3 linked regions of the Drosophila melanogaster genome follow. The protein of the gene in region 2 interacts with the protein of the main gene of each other region in a pairwise test. Each region holds a gene or a part of one and is shown on either strand. Other genes may lie near its edges.

Region 1 (3,755 bases), on a different chromosome or scaffold from region 2:
ACTGAGAATCTACATATGTAAACGAGCGTTTCTTTTAATTACGTTTATTATTACTGATTTGACTGATTGATTTAACGTTCTGATTCTGGCTGTAAAATGGATGTTGAGTTAGAAGTTAGGATGTGATCGGATGTGCCTTAGGCGGCCTCCTCCTCCTCCTCTTCACCCTTGCCGGTGAGCATCTCGATCAGGGCGGCGGTATCGATCTGGTTCTTGTCGTCGATCACCATCTGATCGTAGGCATCATCAACCTCCTTCATGGTGAACTTGTCACCGAAGTTCATGAGCATTTCGCGGAATTTGTCACCGTCGATGAGACCATCGTTATCGAATGTTTTGAAGGCAGCAATAACAACTTCGTCTTCATCGTTGGCACCGGAGGTGGCCATGCGGTTGGCGAACAGGGTCAGCAACTGGGTGAAGTTGATCGGACCCGAGGCCTCGCCCAGCATGGCGTCCAACTCCTTGTCGTTGGCGATCTTGCCGACGGAGTCGAAGGCAGCGCGCAGATCGTTCTTGCCAATAATACCGTCCTTGTCGGCATCCATGAGTTGGAAGGCCTATCGATCCCGCACAGAGACAGAGAGAGATAGAAAGAAAGAGTGTGTTGGTGACTTGGTCCTTGACAAGTGCGATAGATGGTAGGATGACAGGATGATGGGATGGGTCTCGAGTGATCCGACATATGATGCGATATATGAGTAACGCCCAAAACTCACCTCCTTGAACTCGGCGATCTGCTTCTGGGAGAACACAGAGAAGACCGAGGAGCCAGCGCGCTTCGACTTCCTGGAGCCACGGGATCCGCCCGACGCTCTCTTCGAACCAGTGGCAGATGCGGCCGGGGCAGGAGTGGCAGCTGGTGCCGGGGTTGCTGCCTCGGATGCGGCCTCAGAAGCGGTTTCGGAAGTACCACCCTCTTCCTTGGTCTTCTTCTTCTTAACCTTCTTCTTCTCATCGGCCTGAGGAGAGAAAAGAGGGATTTATTAGTAGGGACTCGTGGCAGAAAGGGGGTATCTACTCGGTCATTAGTCGTTATAGTCCGTCTTTAGCTGTCACTTGAAAGTTCCGATTCCGGAAGTTATACTATTCGTTTTAGGGATCTTAGTAAGTTATCCGCGTTGAAGGATCTTCAATTGGAATTATATGGGTAGAAAGTTATCCCTTAATAGGGATTTAAGGGATGTAAGGTATGCTTTTCAAAAGGCCTACCCGACTAGGCCAGAAAATATGTATCTGCAGGCGAAAGTTTTCCACTCATTCTAAAAATATACCGGACGCATATTACGTAAGCTCTCCGCCGTGCGCCACTCGCTGTCTCGCTCGCTCCCCGGCACGGATATCAGATTACATTACTGACGCGTAACACTCGGATCGGATCGATCCATTTATAGAACTTTCTGCACTATTCTCACTGCGTATGTGAAGAAGGTGAATCGGGATCACCATGATTTAGAGTTATGGTTCACTTCATATTCATATCCTCGGGGTCATTCTCGAATGCAAACGATTCACTGCACTGATCGGCATTATCCTTGCTGCATATATCCAGGCACTGGGGTCCAGTTCGATTCGGTTCGGTTCAGTTCGGTTCAGTTGGATTGTAGTGATATTCCGGGACGAGTCCTTACCATGGTGCTGAACTTTGATGTGTTGTCTAATCGAGTCGAGCCGTCAGAGCACACTGAATCTCTGGCTGATTTTATCGCCAAGACAATGATGTTTTAAGAGCTCGGAGGAGCTCTTCTTCTTCCAAGCATTGGGGCCGCTCGTGGAGGTTCGGCCACCTTCGGGGATCTTCGGGCGCCATTCGCTGTATCCGTATCTGCAATATTCGTGCTGCCTTTTTTAGTATCTGCAAGGCGAGGTCCGCCCAGGAGATCGGCGGGGGCGGGCAGCTACAACTATATAGATATAGCCATGGCTATAGCCTATAGCCTATGGTGTAGCTGTATCCGAGGTGTTTACTCATCCATCGGGCGCTGCTCTAATCAAAAATCTAATTTTAAAGGCAGAGAAATTGCTTTGGCTTTGGCTTTTGGGCAGCAGAAGCCTATACATATGTTCGGAATTTATTTCGGGGCGATTCGGATTGGTTCATATAGCGGCTCTCTGTTGTGGATACATTTCCCCATCCTCGGATTCTGTTTTGTTTTCTTTTATTTTGCTCTGCTTCACTACTCGGTGCGTCTCTCTGCCAGAGGCCACCTCCGAAAGGTGTCCTCTTGCGCTGAAATCACCTACATTTTCCTTGGCGGCGGACAGCATACATATATGCCAACATATAGCATATGTATGTATTCTATTCACGCCTATATACTCGATGTTTTGCTCGCCTACGTTCCTTTTTCTGTTTTCGAAATGCCCCGCACATTGTGCAATATGAAGAGCGCCGAGAATTCCAAATCTATAGATCTGTATATACATACACGGCGATCGGGCGGATTTCGTGTCGCATAAATATCCAACGAACCCGATATTGGACCAGAGTTATTTCGGCAACAAATGTGGAATAAACATCTGACTTTATCTATATGCTAGTCATCCATGGACATTGCATAACAATGGGAAGGCTGTAGGATTTCCATTTCAGATAAACTTTGGGTACCACGTCATGATACATTAACCTTGTTACTAAAAATATTAAACACTGCAGTATTCAAGCTATTTAAGCCATTTCAGTAAATAAATAGTAAAATTGTGACAACTTCAATCGACAAATTGGATTCTCAAAGCCTTATTTACACATTTTTAGTTTTCCAAATAAGCAGGAAATTTCAATTTAGTTTCAAGTGTTACAAAATATTATTATTCATATAGTTTACATCTATTTTTTTTAGAAATATTCATTCTGCAAATTATTCGACTTTTTGCTTTCTGAAGGAAATAAGCCAAAACATTTTTCAAAACAATATTTACATGAGGTCATCTTTGCCACCTGAATTCATTACCCTCGCTGGCTAATATTATAATTAATGAAGGCTCTATGCAAATTTATGAAACGGAAAATATCTCAATTAACGATGGGATCCGTGCGAGAAAGCCTTCATAATTCATCGATCAGACATAATGAAAATCGATTTAGGCTGCAGTCATCTTCGTGCTCCATTGAAAGTGATTTTCGGCGAAAACTCTCATGGCGCAGCCATTTTGGCACGTAACCAGGCGACATTTTGGCCTGGGGCCAACCAAAACAAGAAGATATAGAGGAAAACTGCCCACAATCTAATACGCAAAGTAGCATTGAATATACGCGAATGTAAAAATAGAACAAAGTGCAAAAAACGAGCAAGACGCAGTCGAAGGAATGTTAAAACTAATGAAAACTGCGGCAAATGTATTCAATTTTCCAAGGTGCAGAATGTTTCTGGGAATATTAATGGTTTTGACACTTTGGAAGCATTGTTTATAAAGGGTTAACAATTAAATAAGGCAAATAACAGCCTACACATAACATTTGTTTATCTCAAGGGTTTCTAAATTTAAACGCCAAATCATCTTTGATTTGCTGATTTACTACGTTAGTCTGTGTGAATATACCCAGTTCCACCTGATACATGAGCGAACTTGGAGGTGCTCAGTCGTGAGGTCGGACGTCATTGGGAATCGGCTGTATTCAGTGCCCGCAACGCATTCCTATCACATCTCTGCTCCGCTCCCCTTCTTACACCTTGGCCGCCCGATGGCCGAAAATAGAAGAGCCAACGCGCACCACTGTGCTGCCCATTTCGATCTGAGGGAATAGTTTCGATTTT
Region 2 (3,755 bases):
ACAAATCTCGTGCAGAACATCATCGCTGATGGTGGCGTGCATTCCCAAATCGCTAAGCATCTTGGCGGCAATGCTCTTCAGACGTCCAATGTCCTGCTCAACGATGCACTCGCCGGGAATGTTGCCACACTCGCTGAGGAAGCGCTCGTAGGCGCGCAGCGCAAAGTTGTATGCCGTGAGGTTGCCCTGCAGCTCGTTGTCCTCAACTGGAAGGCAAGGAAAGGTAAGTCATTTAAGGTTGTTCCAAAATAGATAGATAGATCTTTACCCAGTGGTAGCAGGCGACTGCTCTTCTCGTACTCCTCTGCAATGCGTGTACCCCTTATGACCGCCAGTCCGGCTGCTTCTTTGCAAATGAGACGCACACTTCTCTCATCAATGCTGTCGGCAGGCAAAGCCAACTGCTTAAGGTACTCCTGGCACTTGTGATACACCTGGTCGGCGTCTTGCAGCGCCTGTTGGCGGTAGATGTGCTGCAGGGCGATATAGGAGTCCGTATTGGCAGTCATGTCCGGCAGAACGCCAGGCAGAGGGAGATGGCCCTCATTCTCATGTATCACAAAGTGCTTTAGGGCCTTGGCCATGATCCAAAAGACGTTGCTCTGTAAAAAAAAAAGAAAAACAAATGAAAGTAAAGTATACGTATAAATTCAGATTATATGGGCAACCTTCTTGTTTAACTGTTCGCAGGCATCATCTTCGAATATGGCTTTCAGGCTTTTGGGAACCTGTCCCGCTCCAAAGGCTGTATTGACCGCCTTGATGGCCTCTTCATAGTTTTCCTCATCCGCCTTCATCTCCTCTCTAATGGTCTCCTTCAACTGATTCTTCTCTTTGTAATTTCGAGGCGTTTGAGTCCCATCCGCTTGTTGTTTTTGCCACACATTAAGGTATTTGTGAAGAACCAGCAACCAGGGCACCTTACTGGTCACCTCGGTGCCGTCGAGATGCTCCCGCAAAGCATCGAATGGATGCTCCAGACGCAGATCAAACTGTCGATTATCCGGATGCGCCTCCACGATGCAGTGTTCCCGTATTTGCAAGCGTATTGTGCCCAGCATGCCAAGCGATCGGCAGTAGATTAATGGAACGTTAAGCTCCCATAACCGTTCGGCCAGGAGAAGCAAAGTCTGCTCATTGAGATTGGAGGCAATCACTAAATCGAAGCTGTCGAAGAAGTTCGGTCTGTTGGCTAATAAAAAGTCGGCACTCTCGTCGACATAATCGCCATTTACGTCGGGATTGAGTTCCTGGAGAAGTTGCATGCAAGCCAATGCTTTAGATTTGCCCAGATAGCTGGAATCGAGGAAGAAACTACGGAAAAAGTGACTTTATAATGGTGGTCAGGGAATGTGTGATGGTCTACCGACTTGTTGCCCAGATCCTCCTCCTTGACGGTGCTGCCATCGGCCACAGTGAAGCCTCCGATACCGGGTAGCACCAGTCCCTTGGCAGTTTCACAGCCGACGGCCGTAACATTCACCAAACATACTGTGGCTGCCTCCAATAGCGTCTGTCCATGCTCTCCCCACAGCCTAAATAGGTGTCATCAGTGCTATGCTTCCGAATTTATCAATTAAAACGCTCCTCACCTGATTTGTCTGTCGTATTTCTTGCTTTTATCCGAAAGCTCTGGCGATTTGGGGGCTGGCGAGGACATTTCACTAGATTTTTGTGCAATAATAAGCCGGTTGCAAATAATCCAGTACTGTAAAGCGCCGGCAGCCAATACTTCTGACACAATTTGTTTATTGGGTGGAGTGTTGGAAAAAACACGTTGGTAATTTTAACTGTTGCTTATTTAAAACATTTATTGACTATTACGTATTACATTTCATTTAATTTTATTGCATTAAACTACATCTACGTACAAGCAATCAGTCTTTACAAATAAAATGTATAAACAGTTGAGAAATTAAAAAGTGAAAGTCTGAGCAAACCAAATAAAGTGTCTGGTTGACAGTTTTTGAATAGCATTCCATGGCTATGGTTTTGGGTGAGTTTTAATATTGATTTTCAACATGCAATTAATTTAATTAAATAATACCGCTAACTGTTTGTTGGCTGGGCAGTGTAGGCAGCGCATTTTGCAACACTGGGAGGGCTAATGAACAGCTGTTTTATCGTGTAATTTCACAACAAAACAACGCATACATCGCTGTGTTTTCTTCTGCATTTCCGTCCGATTGCGATCCAATTTGAACTAAATAAATATCAGTATTATCACGGAGATAATGCCGGCCAAAAAGAGAACTGCCGCGTCGACCAGCAAAAATAGCGATTCGCCATTAAGTCCGCACACAGACGATCCAGCGTACAAAGAAAAAAGAAAGAAAAACAATGAGGTAAGTTTAAGAGTTTTGGATGTAAACAGAGAGCAAAGATTGGGAAACATGTTGCTGTGGCGCCGTGGCCCCCAGAAGTCCCCAAAAATAGATGCCCACTATTGATTTATTACTATTCTCGGAACAGGCTGTTCAGCGCACACGCGAAAAGACCAAGAAATCGGCCGAGGAACGTAAGAAACGCATCGATGATTTGAGGAAGCAAAACGATGCTCTTAAGGTTCAGATCGAGACGAGTGAAAAACATATATCTACGCTTAGAGATCTGATCATTCAGGGTGAGAAAACGGAGGACGGCCATCGAATCATCCAGGAGATTCTCGCTGAACCAGATCCCGATCCCAAGGACAATGACTAACGAGGAGCTTCTCCTGATTTACCTTCTTATATTTTCATACTTTTAAGCCATTTCCCATGGTTGTTAACCATGTGTATCATCTTAGTTTTTCGATTAAAATGGTGCAATTGCTCGAATTCTATTACAAAGACAAGCACTCATGCAGACGAGAACAGTGTTTGTTAAAATCCTACATAAATGGTTTTCATTATTGGTGAGTTTTTATCATTTCTCACCAAATACTTGTTTTTGTTGTACTTTTCTTTTACTTTTGTTTATATTGTAACACTTAATCACTGTATCCATGTTGCACTGAATCTAAATTTTAAAATTATCTATATTTAGTAATAGTGATTTCTATTATTTTCGACATGATTCATACAGCTAAAATCATGCGAGTCTTGAATCAAATAAAGTGTCTATTATGATTTTACCCATATCAGTGTTATTTTATACCCAATACTTCAGCTGTTTACAACTACTACTACTATTATTATTTCCTTGAAAGTTGATGAACTCATTAATCAGAAATACAACCCAGATTCCATCATATACATATGTTCTACGTTTAAGTAGAACTTCCGGCAAATTAGATACTAACCGTCGTAAACGTCCAATTTCTCCATGTGTAGGCTAAAGACCTCGTCCATTTTCCGAGATATGAACATATGAACTAAAACTATAGCTATTGAGAAAGTGTCGTTGTGCCGATAGGTTTTTGGTTTCGGGTGTCCCGTTAGGTCTTGCTCTCTTTGCTTTTGTTGTGGGCGCTCCTTCCGTCTTCTTCTTTCAAACACTCACAAAAACATTGATTTACTGCACTTTTCGCACATTCATTTGATGCACAACTCGACGGCGATTTGATTTGGCGGGTGGTTGGTTTCGTGTCGAAATGGAAGTTGGATTGTGGGGCTTTTTTCGCGTTCAATAAATTGCCGTCTTCCGCTAATTAGCACCACCCGCACACTGATTCCGATTCAATATCAATTTGAAGTTGCTCACATGGCACGAGGCGAAATAAACTGAAATGTGTTTTCAGTTTTTACAGCGTTGCTTTGTTGTATTTGGCTGGT
Region 3 (3,755 bases), on a different chromosome or scaffold from region 2:
ACTCTCATTAGACTTGCATAATTTTACTACTTAAAGGCCTCAGCGAACCTCTCAATGAAGTCCAAGTACCCAACTTTTGCAGGGCTATCAGGCGGGGAAGCCAAAGAGCTCATCACGGTGCGATCCTCAGTTTCGTGGAGGCAATCGGCGTGTAGAAAGCAATCCCGGCCTATCTCACTTAGGATCGCAGCTAGCAATTAAAATTAATATAAGCTGTAACCAATACTGTAATATGATGAGCGTTTGCATAATTGGGGCCGGAACCGCGGGTCTTTGCTGTGCCCGCCATTCGATTGCAAATGGGTTCGAGACCACTGTGTTCGAGCTATCTGACCGAATCGGCGGCACCTGGGTTTACAATGAGGCAACAGGGGCGGTCAATGGCATCGATGTCCACAGCAGCATGTACAAGAACCTACGGTACGTAAATCTTTCGAAAAACCATTTGATATTCTAAGAGTTTCCGGGCCTCTTCAAAGAACCAACCTGCCCAAGGAGGTAATGGGCTTCCCGGACTTCGAAATCGGGGCAAACGAGGCTTCCTATGTGAGATCCGACGAGATCTGCGACTTCCTTAACCAATACGCGAACCATTTCGACCTGAAGAAGCACATCAAGTTCGATAGCTATGTGATTCGAGTTTTGCAGAGGAAAACAAAGTGGCAAGTAAGTCGTGGAGTCAGCTTTATATATAACCACTTAACTGAAACGTTTGCAGGTACTTTTCAAAGACTTGGTCACCAACAAGATAGAGTTCCAGTACTTCGACAAGGTCTTGGTGGCCAATGGCCACTACCACACTCCGAATTATAGCCAAATTCCGAATATGGAAAGGTTTAAAGGGCAGTTCCTGCACAGCCACGACTTCAGAAGTAGGGAGGTTTTCGAAGGTAATTAAGGAATAACTTCTATTAGGTTATTTCACATGGTGTTCCATTCTGCTCAAGGTAAATCCGTTCTGGTCATTGGAGCTGGTCCCAGTGGCATGGACCTGTCGAACATCATTTCCCGAACGGCGGATCGGGTCACCATAAGTCACCACTTGACCGATATCGGGCAACACTCATTCTTCGAGAACGTACAGCAGAAACCCGATGTGCGGGAGCTCGATGAGAAGGGAGCCTTTTTCGTGGACGGATCGTACCAGGAGTTCGACACCGTCTTCTTTTGCACAGGTTACAAGTACGCCTTTCCCTTCCTGACCGTCGACTCGGGCATCTATGTGGAGGACAACTACGTCCAGGAGCTGTACAAGCAGTGCATCAACATCAGGAACCCATCCATGGCTCTGATCGGACTGCCGTTTTACGTTTGTGCCGCCCAAATGATGGACATCCAAGCGAGGTTCATCATGAGCTACTACAACGGATCCAACGAGTTGCCGTCCACGGAGGATATGCTCAAGGACACCCGCGATAGGATGGGCAAACTGTGGGCGGAGGGACTAAGAAAACGCCATGCCCACATGCTGGGTCCCAAGCAAGTGCGATGCAAGTTGGCTTTACTTCTCTATCTGGTTATTAATTCTATTCTCATTTATTATCAAGATCGACTATTTCACGGACTTGTCGCAAACTGCAGGAGTTAAGAACATCAAGCCTGTGATGACCAAATTGCACAACGAAAGCAGCAAGTGCTTCAATGAGAATTTGCTCCACTTCCGGGAGGACAATTTCGCGATTCTGGACGACGAGACATTCATTAAACTCAACTAGATCCTGAATCAATCAATAGGAGCATTAGATTCCAAAACATCGTTTTTGGACTTCCCTTCGAAATAAAATAAATTTCCAATTCTTGTATTCCAAAACAACAGTTTAAAAAATGAGCTTTTATTCTCGAACAAAAACTTTTTGAACACCGGCAAACATTTGTTTGAACATGTTTGTTGGTATTTTTCCAAACAGCTGATTGCGGGCAGCGCACATTCACCAGCTCTGGCCACACTCGCCCGCCTCCTCGCAATCACCTTCTTGCATAATTTTCGGAACACCTCACTTCGCTTTCAAAGTTCGCTGATTTAGGTCGGGTCTTCAAAAGTGGAATAGCGCCTCGTCATGCAGTGTCCGTTCTTGAACCGCTTCACCGCCAGCTTCATCCGCAACTACGCGGAGACGCTGTGCCAATCCTACGGGAGCCACTGTCCCGTGGTTGGGAAGACCTTGGTATCCGGCGAGAAGAAACTTTCACTCGTCGCCGCAAGTGTTACAAGGTCTCACTCGACGGGGGCGAACGCCCACGCCAATGCTGGTGGCCCCGCAACTGCCAACGCCACCGCTCCCGTCTCCGCCCCCGCCTCTGCCGATCCTGGCAAGGCATCCGCCAAGGAGACCTTTCCCTACGAGCGCTTCTTCAACGAGCAGATCATGAAGAAGAAGCGGGACCATTCCTACAGGGTCTTCAAGAAGGTGAACCGCCTGGCAGGCGACGGGCTTTTCCCCCACGCCCTGGAGTACTCGGAGCGGACGGAAAAGCCCATTACGGTGTGGTGCTCCAATGACTACCTGGGAATGTCCGCCCACCCCGGCGTCAAGAGGGCCGTCCAGGACGCGCTCAATAGGCACGGATCGGGGGCTGGCGGCACCAGGAACATTTCGGGTAACTCTCTTCACCACGAGCGCCTCGAGAGTAAGCTGGCTGAGCTCCACCAGAAGGAGGCTGCGCTGCTGTTCACGTCGTGCTTCGTGGCCAACGATTCCACTCTCTTTACGCTCGCCAAGCTCTTACCTGGGTGCGAGATCTTCTCGGACGCAGGGAACCACGCTTCCATGATTATGGGCATACGGAACAGCGGGGTTCCCAAGCACATCTTCCGGCACAACGACGTGGACCACTTGCATCAGCTGCTGAAGCAGACGGACAAAAGCGTGCCCAAGATCGTCGCATTCGAGACGGTACATTCCATGACGGGGGCCATCTGCCCGCTCGAGGAGCTGCTTGACGTGGCCCACGAGCACGGGGCCATCACGTTCATCGACGAGGTGCACGCCGTGGGATTGTACGGTGACCACGGGGCCGGGGTCGGTGAGCGGGATGGTGTGCTGCACAAAATGGACATCATATCGGGCACCCTGGGCAAGGCGTTCGGTAATATTGGTGGCTACATAGCTGGCACCCATAACCTGGTCGACATGATTCGGTCGTATGCGGCCGGTTTCATCTTCACCACCTCACTACCGCCGACTGTACTGTGTGGCGCCCTGGAGGCCGTCAATATCCTGGCATCGGAGGAGGGTCGCCAGCTGCGCCACTTGCACCAACGGAACGTCTCCTACCTGAAGAGCCTGCTGAAGCGAGAAGGTAAGACGTAATTCTGGCATTTATGTAACTCGAATTGAAGGTTATTCTCGCACTTTCGTTTTATTTTAAGTGATGGCTATAAATATAGAAAGAGACACTTAACTTTCAGTTTACTGACTGCATATATAATTGGCCCCATTTCAGGTTTCCCCGTCGAAGAAACGCCCAGCCACATCATTCCCATTAAGATCGGAGACCCTCTGAAGAGCAGTCAAATCTCAAACGTGCTGATCGAACAATTCGGACACTACCTGCAGTCGATTAACTACCCAACCGTCGCCCGGGGCCAGGAGAAATTGCGGCTGGCCCCCACCCCGTTCCACACTTTTGAAATGATGAACGCCCTGGTTACCGATCTAAAGAAAGTGTGGGAAATGGTGGACCTCTCTACAAACGTCCCTCTTTCGCCCAACGCATGCATGTTCTGCAACTCGGAGAGCTGCTGGCACCAGGAC

The links.
Region 1: the proteins of APP-BP1 (region 2) and Mlc2 interact in a two-hybrid assay, tested with the Drosophila melanogaster proteins (one large-scale study listed by BioGRID).
Region 3: the proteins of APP-BP1 (region 2) and Alas interact in a two-hybrid assay, tested with the Drosophila melanogaster proteins (one large-scale study listed by BioGRID).

Annotation. Positions count from the first base shown.
Region 1 is NT_033777.3:30,172,853-30,176,607, forward strand, and holds the start of Mlc2 (myosin light chain 2), read right to left. Parts: upstream 1,700-3,755; 5' UTR 1,635-1,699; coding exon 1,632-1,634; intron 963-1,631; coding exon 720-962; intron 561-719; coding exon 138-560; 3' UTR 1-137. Other genes in the region: CG1983 (uncharacterized protein), read right to left, coding at 3,665-3,733.
Region 2 is NT_037436.4:11,096,590-11,100,344, reverse strand, and holds the start of APP-BP1 (beta-Amyloid precursor protein binding protein 1), read right to left. Parts: upstream 1,934-3,755; 5' UTR 1,661-1,933; coding exon 1,593-1,660; intron 1,536-1,592; coding exon 1,371-1,535; intron 1,315-1,370; coding exon 669-1,314; intron 603-668; coding exon 269-602; intron 207-268; coding exon 1-206. Other genes in the region: Irbp18 (inverted repeat binding protein 18 kDa), read left to right, coding at 2,235-2,345, 2,473-2,703; CG33947 (uncharacterized protein), read right to left, coding at 2,204-2,253, 3,284-3,332. UniProt on the Drosophila melanogaster protein: Regulatory subunit of the dimeric Uba3-APP-BP1 E1 enzyme.
Region 3 is NT_033778.4:23,962,828-23,966,582, forward strand, and holds the start of Alas (aminolevulinate synthase), read left to right. Parts: upstream 1-1,944; 5' UTR 1,945-2,057; coding exon 2,058-3,300; intron 3,301-3,444; coding exon 3,445-3,755. Other genes in the region: Fmo-1 (Flavin-containing monooxygenase 1), read left to right, coding at 233-420, 480-666, 719-890, 948-1,483, 1,548-1,715.